Linked DNA regions of Astyanax mexicanus. The protein of the gene in region 1 binds, or shares a complex with, the protein of each later gene. Links are inferred from orthologs where the notes say so. Each region holds a gene or a part of one and is shown in the gene's direction. Other genes may lie near its edges. The genes, in order: ccnt1 and cdk9.

The links.
Region 2: the proteins of ccnt1 (region 1) and cdk9 are in contact, whole or in part, in a crystal structure (PDB 3BLH), measured with the Homo sapiens proteins. The link is inferred for Astyanax mexicanus from reciprocal best matches to the Homo sapiens genes CCNT1 and CDK9. Residues at the interface, in NP_001231.2 of Homo sapiens: Arg5, Lys6, Arg11, Trp12, Arg26, Ile72, Gln73, Phe78, Phe89, Leu90, Lys93, Val94, Pro98, Lys99, Lys100, Leu101, Val134, Glu137, Ile139, Leu141, Gln142, Thr143, Gly145, Phe146, Glu147, Leu148, Thr149; in NP_001252.1 of Homo sapiens: Val8, Glu9, Cys10, Pro11, Phe12, Cys13, Lys56, Glu57, Gly58, Phe59, Ile61, Leu64, Ile67, Lys68, Gln71, Leu72, Leu81, Ile82, Glu83, Ile84, Arg86, Ile99.

What each region holds. Positions count from the first base shown.
Region 1 is NC_064420.1:1,463,099-1,475,780, reverse strand, and holds the start of ccnt1 (cyclin-T1), read left to right. Parts: upstream 1-8,144; 5' UTR 8,145-8,312; coding exon 8,313-8,482; intron 8,483-10,188; coding exon 10,189-10,270; intron 10,271-10,464; coding exon 10,465-10,593; intron 10,594-12,486; coding exon 12,487-12,547; intron 12,548-12,682. Other genes in the region: DNA mismatch repair protein Mlh3, read right to left, coding at 13-121, 347-415, 1,044-1,122, 1,297-1,401, 1,577-1,653, 1,748-1,849, 2,842-5,425. UniProt on the Homo sapiens protein: Regulatory subunit of the cyclin-dependent kinase pair (CDK9/cyclin-T1) complex, also called positive transcription elongation factor B (P-TEFb), which facilitates the transition from abortive to productive elongation by phosphorylating the CTD (C-terminal domain) of the large subunit of RNA polymerase II (RNA Pol II).
Region 2 is NC_064424.1:25,619,465-25,631,322, reverse strand, and holds the start of cdk9 (cyclin-dependent kinase 9), read left to right. Parts: upstream 1-5,807; 5' UTR 5,808-5,892; coding exon 5,893-5,933; intron 5,934-6,094; coding exon 6,095-6,208; intron 6,209-8,070; coding exon 8,071-8,152; intron 8,153-8,302; coding exon 8,303-8,393; intron 8,394-8,829; coding exon 8,830-8,996; intron 8,997-9,118; coding exon 9,119-9,290; intron 9,291-10,280; coding exon 10,281-10,429; intron 10,430-11,112; coding exon 11,113-11,478; 3' UTR 11,479-11,858. UniProt on the Homo sapiens protein: Protein kinase involved in the regulation of transcription.

The sequences.
Region 1 (12,682 bases):
ATTAAAACCGACCTTAACAGTCTGATCTCCTCCTCGCTCACACTGATCTCCAGAGGAGGAATCACACCTGAGGAGCACAGCCTGTTTTTACCTGGAGTCTCTGGATCATCTTCATACGACTCTACAGGAGACACAAACAAACATGTGCTTTCCTGAGGTACTAGAGGGGAATTTAACAACGTAAATCATCATACGGCCTTTAACTCTACAAACGAGTGTACAATACTGCAATTTTCTATAATTATCTATACTTCCATAAAACCAGTGACCACATAAATATACCACATATATTTGCATACAGTGTATGGTGTCTGTGTCTGTACCTGACTGAAGATTCTGGTTATACCTGTTAGAAGCCCCTCCAGGCGAACCCTTTCATGTGCAGCGTGTTGATCCAGCAGCACCAGCAGGTTTCCTGCAAAAGTACACACACAAATATACATACTGACAATTTTCACAAAAACACACTGATTTTTTTAATAGTTTAAGAATTCCATCCAAACTGTGGATCAATTGTGCAATATTATACAGTTATTACAGTAACCATGCTACATAAATCCTATATAAGTGATTTATTAGGCACATAATGATGCATCATAGTGATAAGATGGGGCTACATAGGGCTAGCCTGCATAAAATTACACAGGAAAAACATAAAAAAAACTGTATCTAATCTGCTTTAATTGATCGAATGCACAAAAAAACTGTATCTATTCTGTTGGAATTGATCAATGCAAATGAAATCTGTTTCTAATCTGTTTTATTTAATCAATGCTTGTAAAAACAATGTACACGAAAACTGTATCTAAATTGTTTTAATTGATCGATGCACATGAAAACTGTATCTAATCTGGTTTAATTCATCAATGCACATAAAAACTGTATCTAATCTGGTTTAATTCATTAATGCACATGAGAACTGTATCTAGTTTGTTTTAATTGATCAATGCACAAGAAAACTGTCAAATCTGATGTGTGATTCAGAACTATATATAAAAGTGACTCAGGTCTGTGAATATATATGTGTGAAAACATATTTTTACCTTGACTCGTCTCTGTGCTCTCCTGGTCTGTTGTGTTTATAAGACAGGCGAGGAATTTCTTGTCTACTTGATGAATAACCTGCAGTAATAATAAAGATTTGGGTTCAGATCAGTTCACTCTTTTCTGTTTCAGTATTGGAAACCGAACCATATTTCTGATCAGTATTTCTTATTTGAGATGCTTTGTAAATATTTGCTTTGTGAATATGGGCCCACATAATTCATTTGAAAAATCATTTAAAGCTGTACTTGCCTTCATAGAGTGGATCATATTCTTAGTGAAGCGATAGGGAAAAAGGATGTTATGGATTTTCACAGCCAGGCCTTCTCCCTGTACACTGGTCACGTCAACAGCCACCTATAAAATAATTTTAGAAAATTAGATAAAGCCTATTTTTTGCATGTGTTTTCTGCATCAGTTAAATACAGTTAAGTACTTCTAAATAAAGGCAGGTTAAACATATCTGAATAAAACTTGTATTTGCAACTGAAATATCCCTATAATTATAATTCTATAACTATTTTTTACTCACTTGAGGGGGTCGTACGAACACTGGGTTATTCCACTCCGAGAAGAGAGCAGAAAGTGAACCAGGACCCTGGAGCTCATCTTGAAAAGAACGAGAGAAGCACAGTCAATAGTATAAGCAGAATAATGAGAGTGTGAGGATGTTAAACCTGCTCTGACTGGTGACATGCATTACCTCTGCAGCCTACGCTGGAAGCTAAGGCTCTTATTGCGCTGGGTTTGGGGAGAAAGGGCAGTACAATATCTGTCTGAAACGGGTAGCACCTGTACTCAAACCCTACAGACAAAAAAACACTGATTAAAACCTCAGTTTTCTAAATGTGGAATTCTCCAGTATTGATGCCTTAATTGACTTAATTGGCTGAAATGATCTGGCTTAAAGACTTGTCTTTTGCTAATGTTTATTAGGGCTGTACGATTAGTCGATATAATCGACAATGTTGATTATTTAAATTTGTCGACTAAAAATTTCATTGTCGACTAATCGTTAATTTGTAAAAGTACCGCATTACAAAAAGTGCTGGGGACAGAAGCGCAAAGGGGGATAAATGAGGGTAAATGGCTCAAACTCACACAGTTTACACTCAATTTAGTCTGTGTCTCCAAAAGTGCCCAAACGCAAATTTAAACAAAATCTACACATTTAAATGCCTTTAAAACCTCATGATCAGCTGTTTCTATTGTTTTTAGAGATTGAGGACAATACCTTTTTAGAATGCATTTTCTTTTTACCTAAAACAGAAAATACATATTTAAATAAATCTAAATAACATCCTGCTTAAACAGTGAAGAAAATATTCTTTTTAACACTTTTAATACAAAGCCTAGAATATTAACTTGTAGGCTCAGGTTCCAGTGTTAAATCCCCTGGGGAGTTTTTATTCTAAATTGGCTTAACTTCTTATTAAAATCTTTAAAAAAAATCAAATAAATACCTGCTGTATTTTATTATTATCACTCTTCTCTGGATGTACAGTAGAAAGAGTTGGTCTAAGTTGACATCAGCAGAACCCTGACCAATCACAAGGCTAATTCTATAACTCCGCCCGCACTTCGAGTCTGAGCAACCGGAACTGTGATGCTGACGTACTGTCGCTTAGCAACCATCTTAGTGCGCTAACTAGCAAGCTATCCAAATATTTACCAAGTAATCTGTCTCATCTGTCTTTATCTTATTTTGTCTTAATGTTAAGAAGCAACTGTTCGCCAGTGATAAAACAGCTCTCAATCACACAGTTCTCAGAAACATTTAAAGTGCAATAGTCCTACCTGTTTTAGAAACAACGCTGACCGCCATATTGGTGACATCTTTGGAGCAGGGTACGGGATTCTCCTCCAGTGATGGAGCTTCGTATGTACTGAGTCCGGTCACCTGATTGATGTAGACCAACTTTCCCAGAGAGTCGTCGTAATGTGTCCTCCAGTCACTCGACACCGGGGCCGGCACATCACTTTCATCGCCCGGACTTTCGTCTGGAGCCTGGACCTCATTTCCTGTTTGGGTGGGCAGAGGCTCATGTTGTGATGCAGGGTTAATTACGTGTCCTGAGGGAATAGCTGGCTCTGAGGAAGTCATAAGTTCAGAAACTCTTTTTAGAGCGTCTCCAGCTGATGGGTTAGGTAAATTGGGAACAGTGAATTTGTGGGTGGGTTCATTTGGATCATTTGTCTCAGTCATTTGTTTTGAAGAACCGTCAGTGTCCTCTGAAGTTTTAAACTGAGACAGAGAGTCTTCAAACGTCTCCTCAGAGTCTGCTGCACGTTGAGCATGTTGGGTTACAGAGGTAGTTTCTTCATTTCTGGTATCATCAAAGGTTCCTTCTTCATAAGGTGTTTTCTCCTTCTGAACTATCTTGTCGCATTTTAAGTGCGAGAGCTTTGCAGCTAATGATATTTTAGTCCTTGAGCTGGCTGATGTTGAACATTTCGTTTGGCTGTAAGCAGAAAGTGTAAGCATACTGTCTTTTTTGATTAAGAAGTTCTCAGAATGAGTCTTTTCAGTCTTTTCGACTTGTTCAGGCTCAAAGATGAGTGAACTGACGCCGGTACCTTGTAAAGCAGGCAATGCAGGACCTTCAGAAGATAATACACAGTCTGAAGGTTGTAAAGCATTAGCGATTTGTGTTTCCACAGACTGACGTTCGGAAGATTTTCCGTACATCCTCTTGAACTTGTCAAGAGATCCCGTTTCAAAAGCCAGTGTTAATTTGCGACGTGGCGCGACCTTTGCCATTTTGGGCCCAACGCCACTTTCTAAGCACAAACTCTGAGTTTGGAGCAAGGACAGTTTTCTCTTTGGTGCACAGCAGATGTTAGGCTCTGCAAATCTTCTCAAACTGTCCTGAGCTTCGTTAGGACCAATTACGGCAACCTTGCTTTGCGTAAATTCCTGATGTGTCATTGTACTGTTGTTGCTGAGGGTATCAATAAGTTGCAGGTCATGGACACTCGTTTCAAAGTCTTGCGAATTCCCGTAATCTTCGAGATCTCTCTGCAGCGAAGGTTTTTCAACACTCTGAACTTCTTTACTTTCTGCCTCTGCTTCTGAACCTGCCGCAGACTCTGCATTTGAGGACCCTCTGTCAAAAATTTGGTCGAAACTTAGATTTTGGACACTTTCCGTTTGATCACCTGAGTTAACCTGAGTCATATTTCCGTTTAAGTCACTTTCGCACACTGTCGACTCTTTGTCCCGCGACTGTGCCGTCGCTTTACTGCATGGGCTACTACTGCCTGTTGGGTCGCTAAAAACACTCGCAAAGGTTTGGGCGTCACTCACAGAAAATTCTGAGACCAAGTTTTCCTTTGTGAGAAACGATTTCACGCCTTCCTCGACGCAGAAGAGGACAGCGTCCCAATCTCTGAACTCGATAAGACTCTTTGCCGGCTCCAGGCAAACATCATACTCAGAGTAGGGGCACTTAAGGTTGATGACATAAACGCCGTGTGAATCGGCGCCTCCTCTTTGCTTGGGGCTGGAGGTGACAGCAGAGGCATTGGGACTGTTGTTTTGGTTGCTAGAGCTGCTCAGTTTCCTGAGCAGGCAGTTGAGTAGTTTGTGAAGGCGTGTTTTCAGCACGAGTCTGCTGTTTACGAACAAAAACTGCAGGCTGTTTTTGTAATGACCCTCGCGCCCAATCGATCCAGTCATCTCAAACTGTCCGTGAGTGAAGTTCACCTCTCTGAGCTTCTGAGCTCTTCCCAATCCATGGATCTGAACAAACCTGTAGTAGGTATTCCTGGCTTTGGGAAGCTGCACCAGCATGGTCCCCGAGCAGTCCTTCTTCACAGTGAACGATACGGACGGATGCATCAGGGATATGGCCTCCACTCTCTGCCGAAGACGCTCAACCTCCAGCACAGAGTCCATCCTCTTCCTCCTGACCGGCATGTTATGAAAGAAGTTGCAGATCAGCACCGTAGTCCCGGGTGACGGACGGGTATCCTGCACCTCGCAAACGCCTGACCCCCTGCCTTCATTAAAGGTTTTAACGAACGTTTTCACCGACGCCTTGGTCTGTGAGGATATTTCCACCAAGGTAGAAAGAGAGGCGATGCTGGCAATGGCCTCCCCTCTGAACCCATAGAATCTCAGGTCATCCAGGTCCTCCAGCGAGCTGCACTTGCTGGTGCAGTACCTCGTCCCCACCTTCTCCATGTCCTCTCGGCTCATCCCGGAGCCGTTGTCTATCACCTGAACTTTGCAGGCTTCGATGTCGATCTTCACAGCGATGCATGTCGCTCCAGCATCAATGCTGTTCAGAACAAGCTCCTCCACACACTGCTGCAGGGAGAAAACAGCGACGCCAGAACGCAGCTTCGCTTGAACTTCTTTGGAAAGAGTCCTGATCATTCTAAAAAAAAAAACACACACACACAAGAGAAACTGTGAACTATTAGAAATCTGCGAAACATAAGAGTGACCATAGTCCATGTATTTTTCATACCGGACATGTGCTCTTTTGAAATCTGCAATATACATAAATATATATGTAAATAAACACAAACTAGATACAGCTAAAAAACAAATCTGCAGGTGGAGCAGTCTAGTCTGCCTGATTACTGTTGCCACTTTTGAAGCTCCACAGTTGGCTGACATGATGATCCACCAACCACAATTATTTCCTTAAGGGATTTTTTTTTAACTATATATCGTCTATAGACATTATTGTGACATTAAATGCAACTGACATAATGATAACAGAATAACAAAGCATTACAAAGGTGCTAGCCTAGAGCGTTCAAATCAATAATTAAATTGACCACAGTAGATTAACTATATTACATTATAGAGCCTGTTAAACTGTTAAACAAGAGGACAGAAGAGTATCCAGTGAAAATGTCATATGAAAATATGTGAAGACCTGAATAAAAATAATAAAACAATTATGGAATAATATAAAACATATCAAATAATTAAATACATATTTTTTATATAAAAAAGTATTACTTATTTACTGGAACATAGCCCTTGCTGTGTCGCCCAATAACAGACGCCCAATAACAGAAGAATGCAACTGAACATTGCGTAAACACCAATATATCTATATGTAGCATTTATTGAATTGATTTTAAGTACACGTACCTTTAAATAACAGCCCCAGATTTAAGGTAAACACAACATATTGGGTTAAAAAGGAGAAATCTCCCAATTTACAGTTTAAAAGCGCCCCGCTTCTTCCCTCAGACAGCTGTAACAGCGCCCTGTTTACTGGGTTATCTTTAGGAACCACAAAAACAACGTTTTAGATGAATAAATATGTTATAAATTACAGTAAATCCAAAATAAGCGCTCGAGTTTCCCCCCATAACAACCCGCCGGTTCACCGGCTCTGTTATGATCTACAATCAGAAAGTCTCTATAGAGGAGAAGACCCACTTTACCGTGTTAACCGTACCACCGTACCGCCAGGGGGCGCTCCCGAGTGAGTCAAAAATAAATATATTTATATAGAGTAATTGAACAAAATCAAAAATTATTAATGTTTGAGAATTTTTATACTGAAACATGTACTCGGTACATTCTACAGCTTTAAAGCTCAATTACTTCATATAAATGGATTAATTTACTGAAAAAATGTACTCAGTTTCCCAACACAAACAGCTCGATTTCGCAACACAGTACATTATACAATATTTTAGAATAGCTAATATAATTATTAAACATTTTAAATTCCAGTTATATTTCTTGTCTTTTAAACTCAATTCTGAGTGGATTCATATGGAGTAATTCGGCAAAATCTGAGATTATAAATGTTTAAGTTTTTTTTTTACTTTTCTAAACACAACACAATATTAAATGTTTTAGTACTGTATAAATACATTTTATAGCTTTAAATATACAGTTATAAATCTTTTAAACTCGGTGTTCTTGCTGTAACTTCAGCATCAGTTCACTAACCAATCCTTTAGCGCACAATAGCAGTAATGCTAGCGTGTCTGTTGTCCAAAAATCGTTTACTGTAGAAAAAAGGTCGAAATAAACATTAGTTATCTTTGTGTTTTTAGTGTATTAATTCAATGTAATATCTAAAATGAAATGAATATTCTGAAGAAGGAGATAATTACTGTGTTTAATTTGTGTTTTTAGCCGTTTAGCTCTATTCACCCTCATTTATTAAACACTCTCTCGCGGGCTCCCTCTAGCGGCTCGCGGTAGTTTTGTGTTTTAACGGTGAGGTAATAAGTGACCAGTCTCTCCATTAAACCAGCTCTGCTACAACGGACGCAGCAAAGTTACGACATCCGACCAGTGAACGAATCACTCGATTGAACGGATTCATTCACTGAACCGCTATTACTGATTCACAAGTCGGTTCAAATTAACTGAATCGATTCTATATGATGTATTAAATCAAGGGAACGATTTATGGAACTGTTAGTTTTTCTATTGATCCTTTAATTTTTTTTTATGTTAATATTAAATATAGGTAAAGTTTAATACAAAGCATTCATATATAGTAAAATAATACTATACTATATAATGTTGAATTAACTTTGAATCAACACTAAATAACAATGATATATTTTTTGTGTTTCCTGAAAAACTTTAGAAAATGAGTTACGATTTTATTTAGAAATTATTTTAGGGAATATTTTTGTCAGTATTTAATGAAGGAAAAGTTGAATATAAAAGCATATATATGCAATAAAACCATAACATTTAACAAATGTTGGATCAACGTTCCATAGCTATGATATGTTTTTTGCTTTTCCTAAAAAACCTGAAAGTAGAGAGAAGAAAGTATTTTGAGGTAAAATTTGATACAAAGCATACATATATGATGAAATCATAATGTTAAATCAACGTTAAATCAACACTGCATAGTGACAATATTTTTATGTTTCCTGAAAAAATAAGTTAGACGCTTAATTTAAAAAATATTTAGCCTACATTTACAATAAAACCATAACGTTAAATCAACGTTGAATCAATACTGAACAGCGACAATATTTTTTTTGTTTGTGTTTACTGAATGTTTAACGTTTAATTAACGTTTAATCAACGTTAAATCAACGTAAAATCGCAAAAATGAATCAACTCAATGCGATGGCGATGAAACACTGAACGTTGATTCGACGTTCGTGCCGAGTCAGTTCAGTGCTTCGTGACTGAATCGGTTCGTTGGAACCGATTCGATACTGCTCGCCCCAGCCTGCGAGTCTGATGACGTCGGTGCGACGCCGACGCAGTTCCTATGACGAACCACGATTTTTAAAAAATATTGCCCTTCTCAGCAATGGCGGCTTCGTTCGTGTCTCCTCTGGAGGAAGAGAGTAGATGGTATTTTACCCGCGAACAGATCGAAAACAGCCCGTCCCGACGGGCAGGACTCGACCCCGACAAAGAGCTGTCTTACCGGCAGCAGGCGGCCAACTTCATCCAGGACATGGGGCAGCGGCTCAACCTGTATCCTTTACACCGGAGCTTTTTCCGCGCACTGGCTGCAGCTCGGGGCCGGTAAGGAGAGGGTACACCGGCTGCTGGCTCCGGCGGACCAGTGCTTCGTTCAGTAAGGAGTTAAAACGACGTTAAATCACGCTTTGAACGCCGTTTGAGGCTGAACCAGGCTGTCGTGAGTGAACCGGCGACGCTAGCTAACTAGCTTTAGCCGCCTGCAGGCTGAGACTTCTGGGATGTGTAGGCCTCGGCTGGATCTGGCTAATCCAGGTCCGGAGTGTAAAAATCCGTTCCTGGATTTCGCTGCGAGCGCCTGGGCGGCTCAGCTGCAGCCGAGCCGCCCTGGCACTCGCTGCGAAATCCAGGAACGGATTTTTAAATTCCGGACCTGGATTAGCCAGCTCCTTATAAAGAACAATAGCAGAGCTGCTGCTAAGCTAACTAATATATTGACTAAATAATCGGCATTAGAGCGTTTTAATATCCCTAAATCTAGACTTAAGAAGCTTTTCTCTTAGACAGTTAGCGACTTTTCGTTAAATATATAGGTAAAAGAGCGATTTTACTTCAGAGTTGTTCTTGTTGTTAGCTTGGTAGCTAGCTAACGTTAGCTAGCGGCTAAGACACTACAGCTATCTAGTTAGCTTGTTTTCTGCTTGTTTTGTCTATTTTAAAGCGATTTAGAAATCATTTTGTAGGTTTTTAACCTAAGTTTGCTAGCCTATTTAGATAAACAAAGGCCATACGTTGTGTTTTAATGCAGGCTTTTAGGTATCTACGCAAACCTAAGCTAAGATAGCTTTAGCTAGTTATGCAGGCAGGCGAGTTTCAGTTTCGCTATTATGCAGAGGCAAATCTTTGTTTTTAGCCATTTAGTTAGCTAGCTTTATGTTAGATATTTTTATTTTGTTCTCTTATGTGATTGTAATAAGCTAAAACATGGTGTTTTATCCTATTTTGTGATGTTTATATCATTACATTTCAGGTATCTGGGATATATTTTGTTTATGAAGCCACTAGCAATATTTAATTAGTCAAATCAAGAGGCTTTTAGTGTCATTAACGCTACATCTGAGTTCAGGTACACAGTGTAATGAAATGATGTACCTCCGGAATCATGGTGCAACATGGAACAACAAAACAATAGGAGTTCAGTTCAGTTCTGCGTGAGTGTGTTGGGTGTATGGTGGATGAAAGGGTTCAGCTCTGTCTCTGAGTGTTGAGGAGACTGAGTGCCTGGTGGAAGAAGCTGTTGCAGAGTCTGGTAGTGGAGGCTCGAATGCCCCTGTATCTTCACGGCATCAGAGCGAAGAGTCTGTGTGAGGGATGGTGGTGGCTTTGCGGATGCAGCGTGTGGTGTAGATGTCTGTGGTGGAGGAGAGGGATTTTGATACTCTTCTCGGCCAGCCTTTTTGCTAATCAGGTGCTTGAGGAAAGTTCATTTCACAAATTTAAGATGTTAAATGGCTGAACTTAGGAAAAGTGAAAACAACTTCATGCTGCTACGTTCTGAATAAGTTGCAGGAGTCTGATGGCTTGCAAAGAAAGACCAGCCAGTTGTCATTTCTTAAATTTCGGAGACTGCACAAGCACTTGGGTGGCATCCCTAGTGAGAAACAGTTTAATTAACAGACAGCGGTACAGGTACATGTTTATATTGGTGCGGTATTTTGATTGTTCCTAGAAAGATATGGTCCTTAACCTTAGATTAACAGGTCCCAACTGTCAATCAACACTGGCATCGTCTACATGCATCGTTTCTACATGGTCCAGTCCTTCACACTCTTTCATCGTAATGTAAGTGTTCTGCTTAGAGCTTGTATTTTGAGGCATGTGTAGAAAAAGTATGTTTAATTTATTTATTTAGAATATTTAAACATGTATTTCAATTCTAATGCTTAAACACTATGAAAATATGAAAAGCCAATTGCTCTTTTAAAAGGTAGTAATTCTATTTTAATTATTTTGTTGTCTGCCATGTGCTGTTGCAGGTGATCGCTCCAGCTGCACTCTTTTTAGCATCCAAGGTGGAGGAACAGCCTCGTAAGTTGGAACATGTAATCAGGGTGGCCCATGCATGTTTAAATCCTCAGGACCCTACTCTGGACAGTAGGAGTGACGTAAGTATTATATTTCTAATAGACAGTATGTTTGTGCAGCATGGATGAATGTGTGTCTGAGCTATCTTTAAGAGCTTTGTAAATGAGGCCCAAGTAACTGTGATAAGTTGTCACACGTAAAAGCCACTCTGAAAGAAAGCAGTCATTTTATTTTTTGGTGTCAGAAGTCTTGTTTGCATCTGGTATTAGCATATATATATATATATATATATATATATATATATATATATATATATATATATATATATATATATATATATATATATATTTAGAGTGAACAGATAACAAGAGTCAGTGAGACTTTGTTACAAGACAAGACCACCATGGAATTTGGCCATCGCTTTTAATTCATCCATACAGTGAACACACACATATACAATCGTGAGTACACTCAGTAGACACAGTGATATTGTGAGAACAAATGCACAGAAAGGTGGACGGTCTTTGCTGTAGTGTTGTGGGCGGTAACACAAGGCTCGACAGACCAATCACAGCAGCTGCAGTCTGCGTTGTGCAGTTATATTTCTGAGCTTGCCCACCTCGGGTATTGAACCCACAACCTTGTATTTGATGGCTAAACCCAAGGTTGCTTAATAACATTAGTATTTACACTAAACAGTCACAGATACACAGACATACCAGCAGAAGAAGAAACACAAGCAGAAGGCTCATCTGTCTCTCAGGCTGTAGATTTGCCTTTAATGTGCCGATTTTCTCTATTAGACAGAAGATTCTGTCCTTGCTGAACACTGCTTGTGATCCAGTCACTCATATTTTCATGGTAATACTTGATGTAAACAGGACAAAAATTGTGATAGTCTCAGGTTGTTTGTTGAAAGATGTTTAAGACCCATTCTTTCTAGTCTAAAGTCTGTCCAATTATTCATAAATTTGCTCAAATTTCTTCAATTATTCTTCAATCCTCCACACCCTTGTCTTTATTGATAGCTTCAATTAATCATAACTGTAGACCGGAATTAAAAATGTTCTAATGTGAAGCAGCCACTCTTGCACAGCCCTCTTTTCATCCCTCTTATTATTACTATTTTTTTTTTCTTCAAACAGGGTGTGGAACATTTTTCATATTCTTCACAGCAATTGGCTGTTAATGCTTCAGCAAACCTTTGCCGCTTCTCAGACCCCGCCATTGGCTAAGCGTGCTAATTCTTTCAGTGCGAGATTAACTCATGACTTTTCTTCCTTTCAGGGTGGATGATTTGTGTGCCTAACACTTCAGTCTGATCACTCCTGTATGTCTGATTTAGTGTGCTTTAATTGACTGTTGATGGAAGTGATTGAACTGAGGTGTTTTATTGTGAAGTATTGATTACCGTAATTTTCGGACTTAGTAAGGATTCCTATATTGAAGTGAGCAAGGGTGTTGCCATGTTTCCAAAATTTTGTCTAAGCGCGAGTTTTCAGTGAAGTTTCTCCAGCATTAAGGCTAGGTGCAGCAGCATTAGCATTAGCTGCTAAACGCAATGCTAGTGGGATGTGAATTTTACCCGAACGCGCTAGATTGAGGAACCCTGAGCTTTCCGGTAACCCAGGGCACTATCAGATAGCGGTTTGTTCCATGTAGCTAATTATAAAAAAGCCTCCCGCCTTAGTGCTGGAGAAACTTTACTGACAGCTCACCCTTATAACTCTGTACTTCAGCGGAGTGGCTTTGCTGCTTCTTTCCTAATACCTGACTGTTTAAATCAGTACATAAGGAGCACCGGATTAGAAGGTGCACTGTCAATTTTTGAGGGAATTAAAATATTTTAAGTGTGCCTTATAGTCCGAAAAATACGGTAACTAGAAACAGTTGTAGTGAGCGAGAGAAAGAGAGAGAATATGACGTGAGAGCGTGCGAGCCTGTGAGTAACCTGCCTGTCCTCTCGATCTCAGACGTACGTGCAACAATCCCAAGACCTGGTCGCTCTTGAGAGCATAATACTCCAGACCCTCGGTAAGTTTGGAACGGAGGAAGTGGGTCTATGAGTGACTTTAGAGAGAAGCACTGTGTTTAACCCTGTTTGTTCCCGTCCACAGCACAGTCCCGGGAGTCGGCCATCAGCCAGAGCATTACAAAGAAAGCTCCTTG
Region 2 (11,858 bases), on another chromosome or scaffold:
TTCTTTGCCACCAGGGTTCGCCACAACATCTAATTGCGCAATAATAGAGAAAACTGTATTAATAACTGTGCTATAAATATAAATATTTTACAGTCAGACACTCATGGCATTTAAAAATAAATATATAAAATACGCGTTTCTATGGCTACAGAAGTGACGCGGCGCGCGACAGCGTTCAGTGAAGATTGCTTGTTTTGTTTACAGAGTTCGTAAACTCTAGACCAGCAGCAGCAGCAGCAGGTTTTCCCGGAGGAGATTCAGCGATTTTTCGAGAGCAAACCCTTTTATTATTTCATATTTACTGTTTTATTAATTGTATTGTGTTTTACTTATTATATTATTGTTATATTGTCTGTATTGTCTGTTATTAATCTTATAAGTTTGTTTTTCAGGTGTCGGAGGCCGGTGAGGGTTTACTGACACCCTGCGGTCCGACATGGAGTTTTGGCGTAGCGAAGAGCATCGCCTGGAGGTTAATAAACAATTATCTAATTTTACACCAAATATATAGTGAAGAGATAAAACTAGAGGTGGAGCAGCATAAATTACAGCAGCTGTTAGTTCTGCAGGCGGAGTGTGAGGAAGTGATGAGTAGCTAGCCTAACCTAGTAAGCATAACATTAGCATTTTATTTAATAACTGTATCAGTCTGGAAAGGGTTCCTTGCTTGGGTGCTATAAAGGGTGGTATATGTGCTCACAAATATCATCAAATAAGCTCTAAAATGTTCACTGAGCTGCTCACAATATCAGCATTAGCAGGGACAGTAAATTCGTGTATATATTTTTATGTCCTATTTTTTAAAATGATTGTAAAGTATATTGCATGTATTTCTATTGCAGGGGGCTTCTGGTGGTCCAGGAGACCCCTTCATTCTGCTGCCTTTTTGTGTAAATCTCTTTCAAACTTATTTTTAATCTGCCTTAAAATGCAGCCTGTTTAGTTTATACTGCAGTGGATATAATCCTCAATTGTGTTTTTATCCCCATGTTTCTGAAGGGCACTGAGGAGCTGAGGGCTGCCTGTTTGCAGTGGCAGGGTGAGGGTCCAGACCCCTGGACGGAGCTCAGGAGGGTCCAGCATGAGTTCCTCGAGGGGAAGCTGAGGGCCCTCATTGAGAAGGTCAGTAAAGCACAATGAATAATTAATTAAGATGCAGATAAACATCACAATCACATTTTACACACTGTAAATGCTTGTATATGTCAACATATGTTGATTATTGGTTTTAAAAATGGTTGGAATTTTTTTTGTAGGTGGAGTCTCACTGCGCACGCGACTCTACCACTCTCCTGCCTTTTTGCGTGAGTCTCTACCAGACTGTTATTGTTGATTTGTCTAAAAATGCAGCGTGTTTAGTTTATATTGCAGTGTATATAATCCTGAGTTGTATTCAGGAGGAGCCAGACCCCTGGACGGAGCTCAGGAGGGTTCAGCTCGAGTTCCTCGAGGGGAAGCTGAAGGCCCTCATTGAGAAGGTGAGAAAAGCACAATGAACAATTAATTAAGATGCAGAGAAGCATCACAGTCATAAAGCTGCTTTCAAAACCAAATACCACCTTAAATCTGTTGAATATCTGTTAATATGTGTCTTTAAAACCTTCATCTTCCCCTCCATAGCTTTCCTGTCCCAGGCGGCGTGTTGGGAGTGTTCTGGTGGCAGCCCCCGCTCACAGGCTGGACTCTACCGAGCCTGATATCCCAGGTCCAGTTGCACAGGTAAGAGTTTGCAGTTAATCCTAAATAATCTTTGCCTCTCTACTATCTTAAAATGATTAAAGATCTACAATTCATTATGAAACCTGTTATAAGAAGCCGTGAGAAAGGTGTGTGAAAGGAATAATAATCTCCTATTGTTTTGTTTTTGTCATTGACAGTGCGAAGAAGCTCCAGCTCCAGACCTCACCACCACCTCTCATCCGGAGCCATCCAGCCAGGGAGACACTGCACTGTCACCTAACAATAACACACAGCGCAGATCCCTGAAACGCCCTGTCACCAACTTTTGGAGCTCCTTTGTGTGTCGTTTCAGGTCTCCTCGCCGAGTCCTGGTGCAGGTAGAAGAGGCAGATCCCTCTCACCGGCTGGACCTTCAGGACACAAAGCCTGAACTGGAGCCAGTGCCAGCTGCACAGGTAAGGGTTTGGACTAAATCCTGCTGTCAGCTATAGAAGCTTCCCTGTATATCCCATTTACTGTATCTCATTTAATAATAATTATGTTAATTCATGGTATAATTTAGTCCAAAACACTTTAGACATCATTCCTGCAGTCACAGCAATATTGATAAGCATTTTACAATATATTACGTATACAATTATGTAAATTTTTGACAAGCATTATGCAATGAAATTATTAGTAAATTGTCTACAACAGTAAAGGTGTACAACAGTTCCCCTTTATTTCTGTGTCTCTGTCTCTGTTTCCCCCAGTCACCCATGGCGGTACTGTCGAGGGGGAGGTTCCAGACTAAGTGCGATCTGAAGAAGACCTCTTATGTGCACGTGTGTACGTATGTATGTGTGTTTGCATACGTATGTGCGTGTGTAGGTGTGCATGTCTTTTTGTATGTATATGCATGTATTTATGTGTGTTTCTGTGTATATGTATGTGCACAAATGTGTTTGGTATGTATGTGTGTTTTGAATTGTGTGTATATGCATGTGTGTGTTTGTGTGCGTATATATTTGTGTATGTGTGTTTTTGTGTCTGTGCATGTAAGCATGTGTGTTTGTGTGCGTATGCATATGTATACATGTCTGCATGTGTTTTTGTGATGTAGGAATGTGTTTCTTTAAGTATTTTAATGTTTTTGGATCTGTATGTGTATTTGCGTGTGTGTGTGTATGAATGGGTGTGAATGTGTGTTCTCCATGGATCGCCACCTTGCCGTTGGTGGAGAATCTTGTGTGTTCCATTGAACCTGAGAGCGATGCCGTCTGGAACTTAGGTTCCTGGTAGGGTCACCCATGGCAGTACGGTCGAGGGGAAGGTTCCAGACTAAGTGCGATCTGAAGAAGACCTCTTATTTGTGTGTGTGTGTGTGTGTGTGTTCTCCATGGATCGCCACCTTTCCATTGGTGGAGAACCTTATGTGTTCCAATGGACCTGAACGGTATAAAAACATTTTTGGCACCCTAAAAAGTTTTATGATTTTTCTTTATAAATCATTGTTGGTTCAGATCTGCAATTTCAGTTAAATATCATACAGAAGATGAACATAGTAATGTTTAAGAAGTAAAATGAAGTTTATAGGATTTATAGAAAGTGTGCAGTAATTCTTTAAATAAAATTTTAATTAAACTAATTTTAAAAATGTGGGCACGGTTGATTGCTGGTCCAAACAACCAGTGATTTATAAGGGTCTGTTGTAAATGTTTCAAAGAATCCAATTTGCCCGATTACCAATCAGGATGCTGCTGCTGATCAGGATCATGATGGAGATGACCATGATGAGGATACTATCTCTGGGTGCTCTGAGAGGCCTTCAGAGGTAAAATGGTCAACTACAAATTCAGTGTTATTTGTATTGAAATAGCTAATGTATTTATGTCCTACTGAATACACAGAACATACAGAGCATTCCTTCCAAACTGGACCCTCCACATGTAGGCATAGTAGGGTGACCTCTGAGGTGAATACAGTGTTTGTATGTTCTTGAATACATCTCCCACCAATGAATAATGAAAATCTTTTTATAGGTTGGAACAGACACTGTACGAGCATTGGACAAAAGAACACTGAAGCTGGATATACAGTACAAGCTCCTATAGAAAAAAGGATTAAGCCAAAAATATAACGACTGGAGTATGAACAAATGCTATAGTCAGACTTATATTAAATGTTCATTTAATGTACATATCCAATAAAATTTCTGCTGTCTTAAGGTAGCTCTCCTTTTTTGCAGAAACACCCCTGAAAGATTATTTTTTAAATAAAACTCAATTAGTGATATGAGTGTTTCATTTGTCTCTTAGAATGTGCATGTTCAATGAGTACTTTAGGATATAGCAGACAGATATTTAATATTATCCAAAAATATACTTTTAAGGTAACAGACACTGAAAAAGAAAATGGGGGGGGACATTCAGTGACTATAACAAAGTGATTGGAAGGATTAGGTGAGATGCAGAAAACTAGTAATTTACCTACAGGTCTTGGCTAATCGTAATTTACCTCAGATATCCACTCTCTGCATACTGTATTCTTCAACTGTTCTACATCACCTACAGTGTGTGTATATATATATATATATATATATATATATATATATATATATATATATATATATATATATATATATATATATATATATATTGTGGCGTCTGTGTGTGTGTGCCAGCTTTTAGTGTGCCTGTGGGGGCGGGGTATGGTAATCCGGGGCCAGCGGGGCATTATGGGGGTATGTTTTGAGTGGGTTAAGGGGACTTACCATCTTTGTGTTGGATAGCTGGGTTGGTGGCCTCAGGGCTGTTTGAGCTGTGGTTGCAGATGGGTTTCGCTCTCCTAGCCTTGTTAAAGGCTATAAGTGAGTGGCAAGCCTGTTAATAAAGAGCTGTTGAGACCTTGCAATGAATCTCTCGAGTCCTTATTCCTCTTCCACGCTACAATATATATATATCTTCTGCTCTTTTAGACTGATATATATATATATATATATATATATATATATATATATATATATGTTACACGGGTGAAGTGCTAAGCAGCCTTAGCAGGGTTAACTTGTTATACTTCTTAAAAGAAAGCGAGGCTGGGTTACAGTAAACAAGAGACAAACTTAGCTAGATAAAGTTTACTGCTTATCTGAATGATCCATTCCACCTTAAATTGTGCAGCAGTTGCTGCTATTACATGCTAGTGTCTCGGGCGCCGTAATCTGATTACGGTACCATTTAAGGTGGATGAGCTAACTCACGCGCACACAGAGGGAAAGGGAGACATGAGTGTTAGCAGTCTAATCTAATAGTATTGTCCATAGATGTTCGGTCTAAAATAAAAGAGAGTTTTACCTTAACCTTGTAACCTGACTTTTTAACACCCCTCAGAATCAGAATTGGAGTTACTAAGAAACATATGCTTCGAGGGTTACATTTGGTCAGTGTAACGTTTATTAATTTATTTTCGGACCTTTTGAGGTTAAATACCAAAATAGAAAATTGGATGTAAAAACTAATTATTTTATTTATTTTTATTTTTATTTTTACATGTAGTGCAGTGTACAAAAAGTAAGTTTTCATCCATGGTCAGTGTAACGTTTAGCAGTTTAATTGTCTGACTGTATCAAGCTTATTTAGAAATGAAGAACAAATGGATTTTTATCCAATTTTTCAATTATCATGTTTTTCATTTCAGAATTTCAAGAAAAATTAAAAGTTAAATGTTCTCTCAACTCTTTTCAAATTTGTCCATTTTTGTATCTTGTAACACAACTCCAATAATTCAATTTGCAAAATGCAAAAATTGAAAAAAAAAATCATTTTTTTCTGAAGTTGCGATTGTGAGGGGCAGAGATGAAAAAAAAAATAAAATAAATAAAATTGGAAAAAATTATAAAACCTTTTTCTTGTATACTACACTATACAAAAAAAAATGAAATCATGAGTTTTTACATCCAGTTTTCTATTTTTGCATTTAACCTTAAACGGTAAAAAAGTAATAAACGCTACACTGACCACATTTCTATGATCTATTATCGTTATCCATTTATATTGATTTCAATAACTGAAGCTGAATTAATAAGATTATTAATCGTTCTTTTAGTGAAGTGAACATGAGACATTGTTAATAAATGCTTATTGCAGAGTGAGTGCAGTCAGTCCTCCAGCCTGTGAGCGGCGCTGTGTTAAAGTTGCTGTGAATGAGCGAGTTTCCCCCTGTAGAGCAGCGAAGATGCAGCGAGAGAAGAGCGGAGGCTCCGGCGGGGCTGATAAGTATGGATTTATTCATTATTTTATCATATTAAAGGGTTGATTTTGTTTGTTGATGTTTTCCGGGTGTTGGAGCGAGTCCCCGCGGCCGGGCGGCTCCGCTCCTCCCGCGGCTCGGTGTGTAGGACTGGTTTGATTCTGGGTGTGATGTGTGTGTGTTTCAGGCCGGACCGGGAGACCGCCATCATGTCCAAATACTACGACGGAGTGGAGTTTCCCTTCTGTGACGAGTTCTCCAAATACGAGAAACTCGCCAAGATCGGACAGGGAACCTTCGGGTAAGCGGGGTGGCTCTGCTCGCTATTTCTTCGGGGTGTGGGTGTTAGATTAGAGGAGGAACCCTGCTGTATGAAGTCTGATCTGCGGACTGAGACTGTTAGCCACAGGCAGTGCTAACCTAGCTAACGAACAAGCGGCTACTGTAGCTACTGTGTGTCTATCTCTCTGGTTATCTAACTATAGTCTATGGTTATCTGTCTATCTTGTGTTTTTTAAATATGTGGTAACCCTTTCTGATAAATACATTTAGCTACTTCAACTGTATGTGTATGTGTAGATAAACATAAACCTATAGGCTGTTAGTACCGTGGGTATTTCCAGACGAGGGCAGGAGGAGTTTAAACCAGTTTTGAGATGCGGCCTGAAGGAGCTCCAGACAGTATTCCTGACTGAGTATCGGGTGAGGTGAAGTCTTGACCTCACTTAAGTAATCCTCACAGCAGTGTCTGCCTGGAGCGATGTTTATTTCCTTTTATTTAATTATTCGTTAGAGTAGTCTGAAAATCACAAAACCGTTAGTTAGCTTCATTGGCTCTCAAACTGCTGCGTTCAACGCACTTATTGTTAACGTTATTGTTGTGGATACACTGGAATCCAGATGCCAAATATCACTGATTCAACGTTCATATTTGGTGGGATTACATCTTTTAATGTTGATGACTTATAAACTTTTACAGTGGTTTCAGGTGAAATGTTACCTTCATATAATTATAAAAAAAAATTGATTGATTCAGAAGTGTGGACATTCTGGGCTGATGCCGACATTCCAAATTACTCGTGTGTGTGTGTGTGTGTGTGTGTGTATATATATATATGTATATATATATATATATATATATACATATAATCACAAGCCATCAAACCAAGCTGAACTGCTTAATTTTTGCACCAGGAGTGGCAAAAAGTTATCCAAAAGCAGTGTGTAAGACTGGTGGAGGAGAACAAGCCAAGATGCTTGAAAACTGTGATTAAACCACCAAATATTGATTTCTAAACTCTTAAAACTTTTTAATATGAACTTTTCTTTGCATTATTTGAGGTCTGAAAGCTCTGCAACTTTTTGTATATTTGACCATTTCTCATTTTCTGCAAGTAAAGGCTCTAAGTGACATTATTGTTATTTGGAATTTGGGAGAAATGTTGTCCATAGTTTATATAATAAAACAACAATGTTCATTTTACTCAAACAAATATACCTATAAATAGCAAAATCCAAGAAACGGATTCAGAAACTGAAGTTTTATAATTTTTTCCAGAGCTGTATAAACAAATGTAACATTTATTTGCCTTGCATTTTCTTTTTTCTTTCACTTTTTTTTAGCTAACTAGTCATTACATAATGCCCATTTTTAAAGTATTGTTATTTAAGTCATAATGTTTTGCTAATGTTGAATCCACCTAAAATGCACAAATCAACGCTGTTATATTTCAGAAATGGAACAATTACCATTGTTTCAATCTTCTTTTGCTGCAGTAAATCTCATTCCCCATAGTCAATAAATAAATAGATATTTATAAATATATTTTATGCAATCCCTAAGCACATTAGATGAGCAAATAAAATTATTAGTATATGATGAAACCTGACAATAGCATGGTGTACCAATCTTGATAGTTACTTGCTAAGTAGCTAGTGTAAAACAGAACTCCTTTTATTGATTTTGTGAGTACAAAAAAAAAAACACTGCAAAATAACCATTAATTTACCCACTGTGTTCTTTTCTGGGGTCACGGTCCTGTGCATATGTTAGTCTGCTTGTCTGGTTGGAGTCAGAGTTGGGTTGGAGAACACTGTGGTACAACATGTTCTGAAAGCTCCGACCCTCTTTCACCTGTTCTCTTTGTTGGTCCTTCTCTGTAGGGAGGTGTTTAAAGCCAAACACCGACAGACTGGAAAGAAGGTGGCTCTGAAAAAGGTGCTCATGGAGAACGAGAAAGAAGGGGTACGTATAGAGAGCTTAGCTTTATGTTAACATTTACAAGATTGGGCTTGTTCCTCTGGAAGTTTATTTAAGATATTATACTTGAGCTCATTTTTTTGTTGGAGTTATTGTTTTATTCTGGATTTTATTCTAATTTACTACTTCTTACAGTTTCCCATCACAGCTCTGAGGGAAATCAAGATTCTGCAGCTGTTGAAGCACGAGAACGTTGTGAACCTCATTGAGATCTGCAGAACCAAAGGTAAGTAGGCACAAATTTAATTAATCTTGCAGATTTTGTTAATGTTGCTGTTTAAAGAATCTGAAGCAAGAAAAATGTTTGAAGTTTTAATAGAAGTTGATGTAAAAACTCAATTTGGAGCATTTTCATTGATCTATTAATTATGAAATTAGGACATGCTGTGAAGGACAACTGCTGTGACCAAAAAAAAAGACAGTTATGGATATACATGTTTGGACAGCAGTGGTATGCTGCACTGTTGCACTGTATTTTGCACTGGCAAATAACTTTTAAGTGAAGTGTTATTGTAACCATAGGCTAACTAGAAATTTCTAGTAGTACCGCTAAGATCATTGGTGGTGCAGCTCCATGGACTGCTGTGTTTTCTTTGACCTAAAGCTTATTAAACTCTAACTGGCCTCTGTTAAATCTTTCTGTTTTTTTGTCTGTCTTTTAGCCACACAGTTTAACCGGTATAAGGGCAGCATCTACCTTGTGTTTGATTTCTGTGAGCACGATCTGGCCGGCTTACTCAGCAACGCTAACGTTAAGTTCACCCTGGCTGAGATCAAGAAGGTCATGCAGATGCTCCTGAATGGTCTTTACTACATCCACAGAAACAAGGTGCGTACAGTGTACACGACCATGATCCTTTTACAAAATTTTACAAACATTTTATACTTTATATGTGTCACAGTTGATTAGTTGTTTGGTTTTAACCATGTTTTATTTGTCTGCCTGATCAGATCTTGCACAGAGATATGAAGGCAGCGAACGTTCTGATTACGAGGGACGGCATTCTAAAACTGGCTGATTTTGGACTAGCCCGGGCATTCAGTCTGGCGAAGAACAGCCAGGGAAACCGGTACACCAACAGAGTGGTCACCCTGTGGTATAGACCCCCTGAGCTACTGCTGGGTAAGATTAAGGTGTATTATTCAGTGAATTATTCAGTAACTAATATGAAAGTGTGAGGAACTAAAGGGTTTTAAGGTTCCCAGTAGCTAATTCTGTAGCACACTCTTTACAGCCATGAACTGTCATCAGTCTAATTCCTACTAAATAATACAAAGCCAACATTTTTATTTGCTTTAAAATGTGTGAAACCTACAGGTGCATCGAAAAAATTTAGAATATAATTGAAAAATTACTTTATTCAGTAATTCAGTTCAAAATTTGAAACTACTGTCCAAAGTCCAAATAGCATCAAGTCCAAATTTAGTTAAGTGTTTTCCTGGAAAATCTTACAGCACATCATGCTTCCCTTTGCTGACAACTTTTATAGTGATGCGGACTTGGCACACTGCCCACACTGCCAAAAGTACCAATTAATCTTATGTAATATTGTAATTTTCTGTTTGGGTTTTCATTAGTCGTAAGCCATAATCATCAACAATAAAATAAATAAATTCTTAAAATAGATCAAAATTACTCTCTGTGTAATACATCTATATAATTCACAATTTGAATTAAATTACTAAAATAAAGTAAAGTAAAATAATATTTACATTTTTGAGCTGCACCTTTACATAAACAAGTTAAACTATACAATTTAATGAAATGTAAATTAACAAGGCACTAGGGCAATAGATTGATAAAAAAAAAATAAATCAAATCACACAAGTTGCTGATTATTTATGATTGACCACATTTTTCCAACTTAACGGAACTTTTAACAATGTATACTTAAACGTAAGTATCACTGTGGGTGCGCTTATTAAATTTTCCAGATTAATTGTACGTTAATCTTAGTCAATGTCTAGGGTGATTGACTGAATCTGCTTTCAAAGCTGAGTCATGTTCCTTTGTAAAAACATTTTTTCCCTCTTTCATGGTATTTGTTTTATGGTAATACGTTACTGTGTGAACTATTTCCTATTGATTGTGTTTGTTTGTGCACGTGTACAGGGGAACGTGATTACGGACCTCCTATTGATCTGTGGGGTGGTGGGTGTATCATGGCTGAGATGTGGACCAGGAGCCCCATCATGCAAGGCAACACTGAACAGCACCAGCTAACACTAATAAGCCAACTGTGTGGCTCCATTACTGCAGAGGTAACAAGCCTATTCACTTTTGCTGCACTTCAGTTTGAACAGTGTTATAACAAATGTACTTTTATATACTTTATGCATCACTGCACATACTATGGATTTTCCCAGAAAAATAGAATATGCTGTATTATTGGGTCATTTTCATATTATTGGGTATGACATCTGCAGTACAATGGTGCTTACCATTGTGTACCCTTTAAAATGTTCTATATTCTACATTAATGTGCCTTATTTGGTTTTCACTTGTATATTAAAAGTAGATTTAAATGTAGATAAACAGACACCAATTAAACAAATGAGAAACAGAATATTAAACTATTCCTAAAATAATTTTCCTGATGTTGGAATTAACATGTAACATGCGCCAATCCAAGAAAGAGGCCTTCAGTTGCTTAGAAGTTATCTTTTGGTTGATTCAAAAAGTTCAAAAGTAGAATATTATTCTCTGTAAAGTCCACCTTCAATGAAATTAATATTATTTTAAGTAATATTTAGTATAATTAAAGTCTTGATGAACCATGGTATACTTTTAAAAATGTGCTTACCACATTTTCTTAAGCACCACTTACTATTTTTGTTGTCTAGAAACTGTGTACACATCCATTTTTACAATTTTTTTATAATGATCCCTTTTCTGTTATTTTGCCTTGAGAACTAAAATGTTAATTTTCCCTTGGTTTTCTCAGGTGTGGCCAGGCGTGGACAAGAAGTACGAGCTGTATCAGAAGATGGAGCTGCCGAAGGGTCAGAAGCGGAAGGTGAAGGACAGACTAAAGGCGTACGTTAAAGACCCGTATGCTCTGGACCTCATTGATAAACTTCTGGTTCTGGACCCGGCGCAGAGGATCGACAGTGACGACGCTCTCAATCATGACTTCTTCTGGTCCGACCCCATGCCCTCAGACCTCAAGAACATGCTGTCCACACACAACACCTCCATGTTCGAGTACCTGGCCCCGCCCAGGCGACGGGGTCACATGCCTCAACAGCCAGCCAATCAGAACAGAAACCCAGCCACCACCAGCCAGTCGGAGTTCGACAGGGTATTCTAATGTGGCTGCTTACAGACTGCTAACAGACTGATTGGTCGAGGAGAAGATAGAGACTTCTGATCGACCCTGAGAGCGTGTCATCACGTTCCGCCTGGGCCAGTTGCGTTTTAGACATGTGATATTTACATGTTTCGTTTATTTATGTGGGTTATTAATCTTTTTTCATAGTCGTTCATTGGTGATTACTTATTTAGGATGTTTGGGCTGTGAGCTAAATTGAGCAGCTCCTACCAGAGAAGACATGGCATATTTGGCTTATTTTTGCCATTTGATTGAATAAATGTAAGTGGATTCACCACTGAACCACTGTGTTCAGATTAGAACCAGGATTACTCTGGAAATCCCATTTTTCATTTATCATAACGGCACAAAAGAAGAAG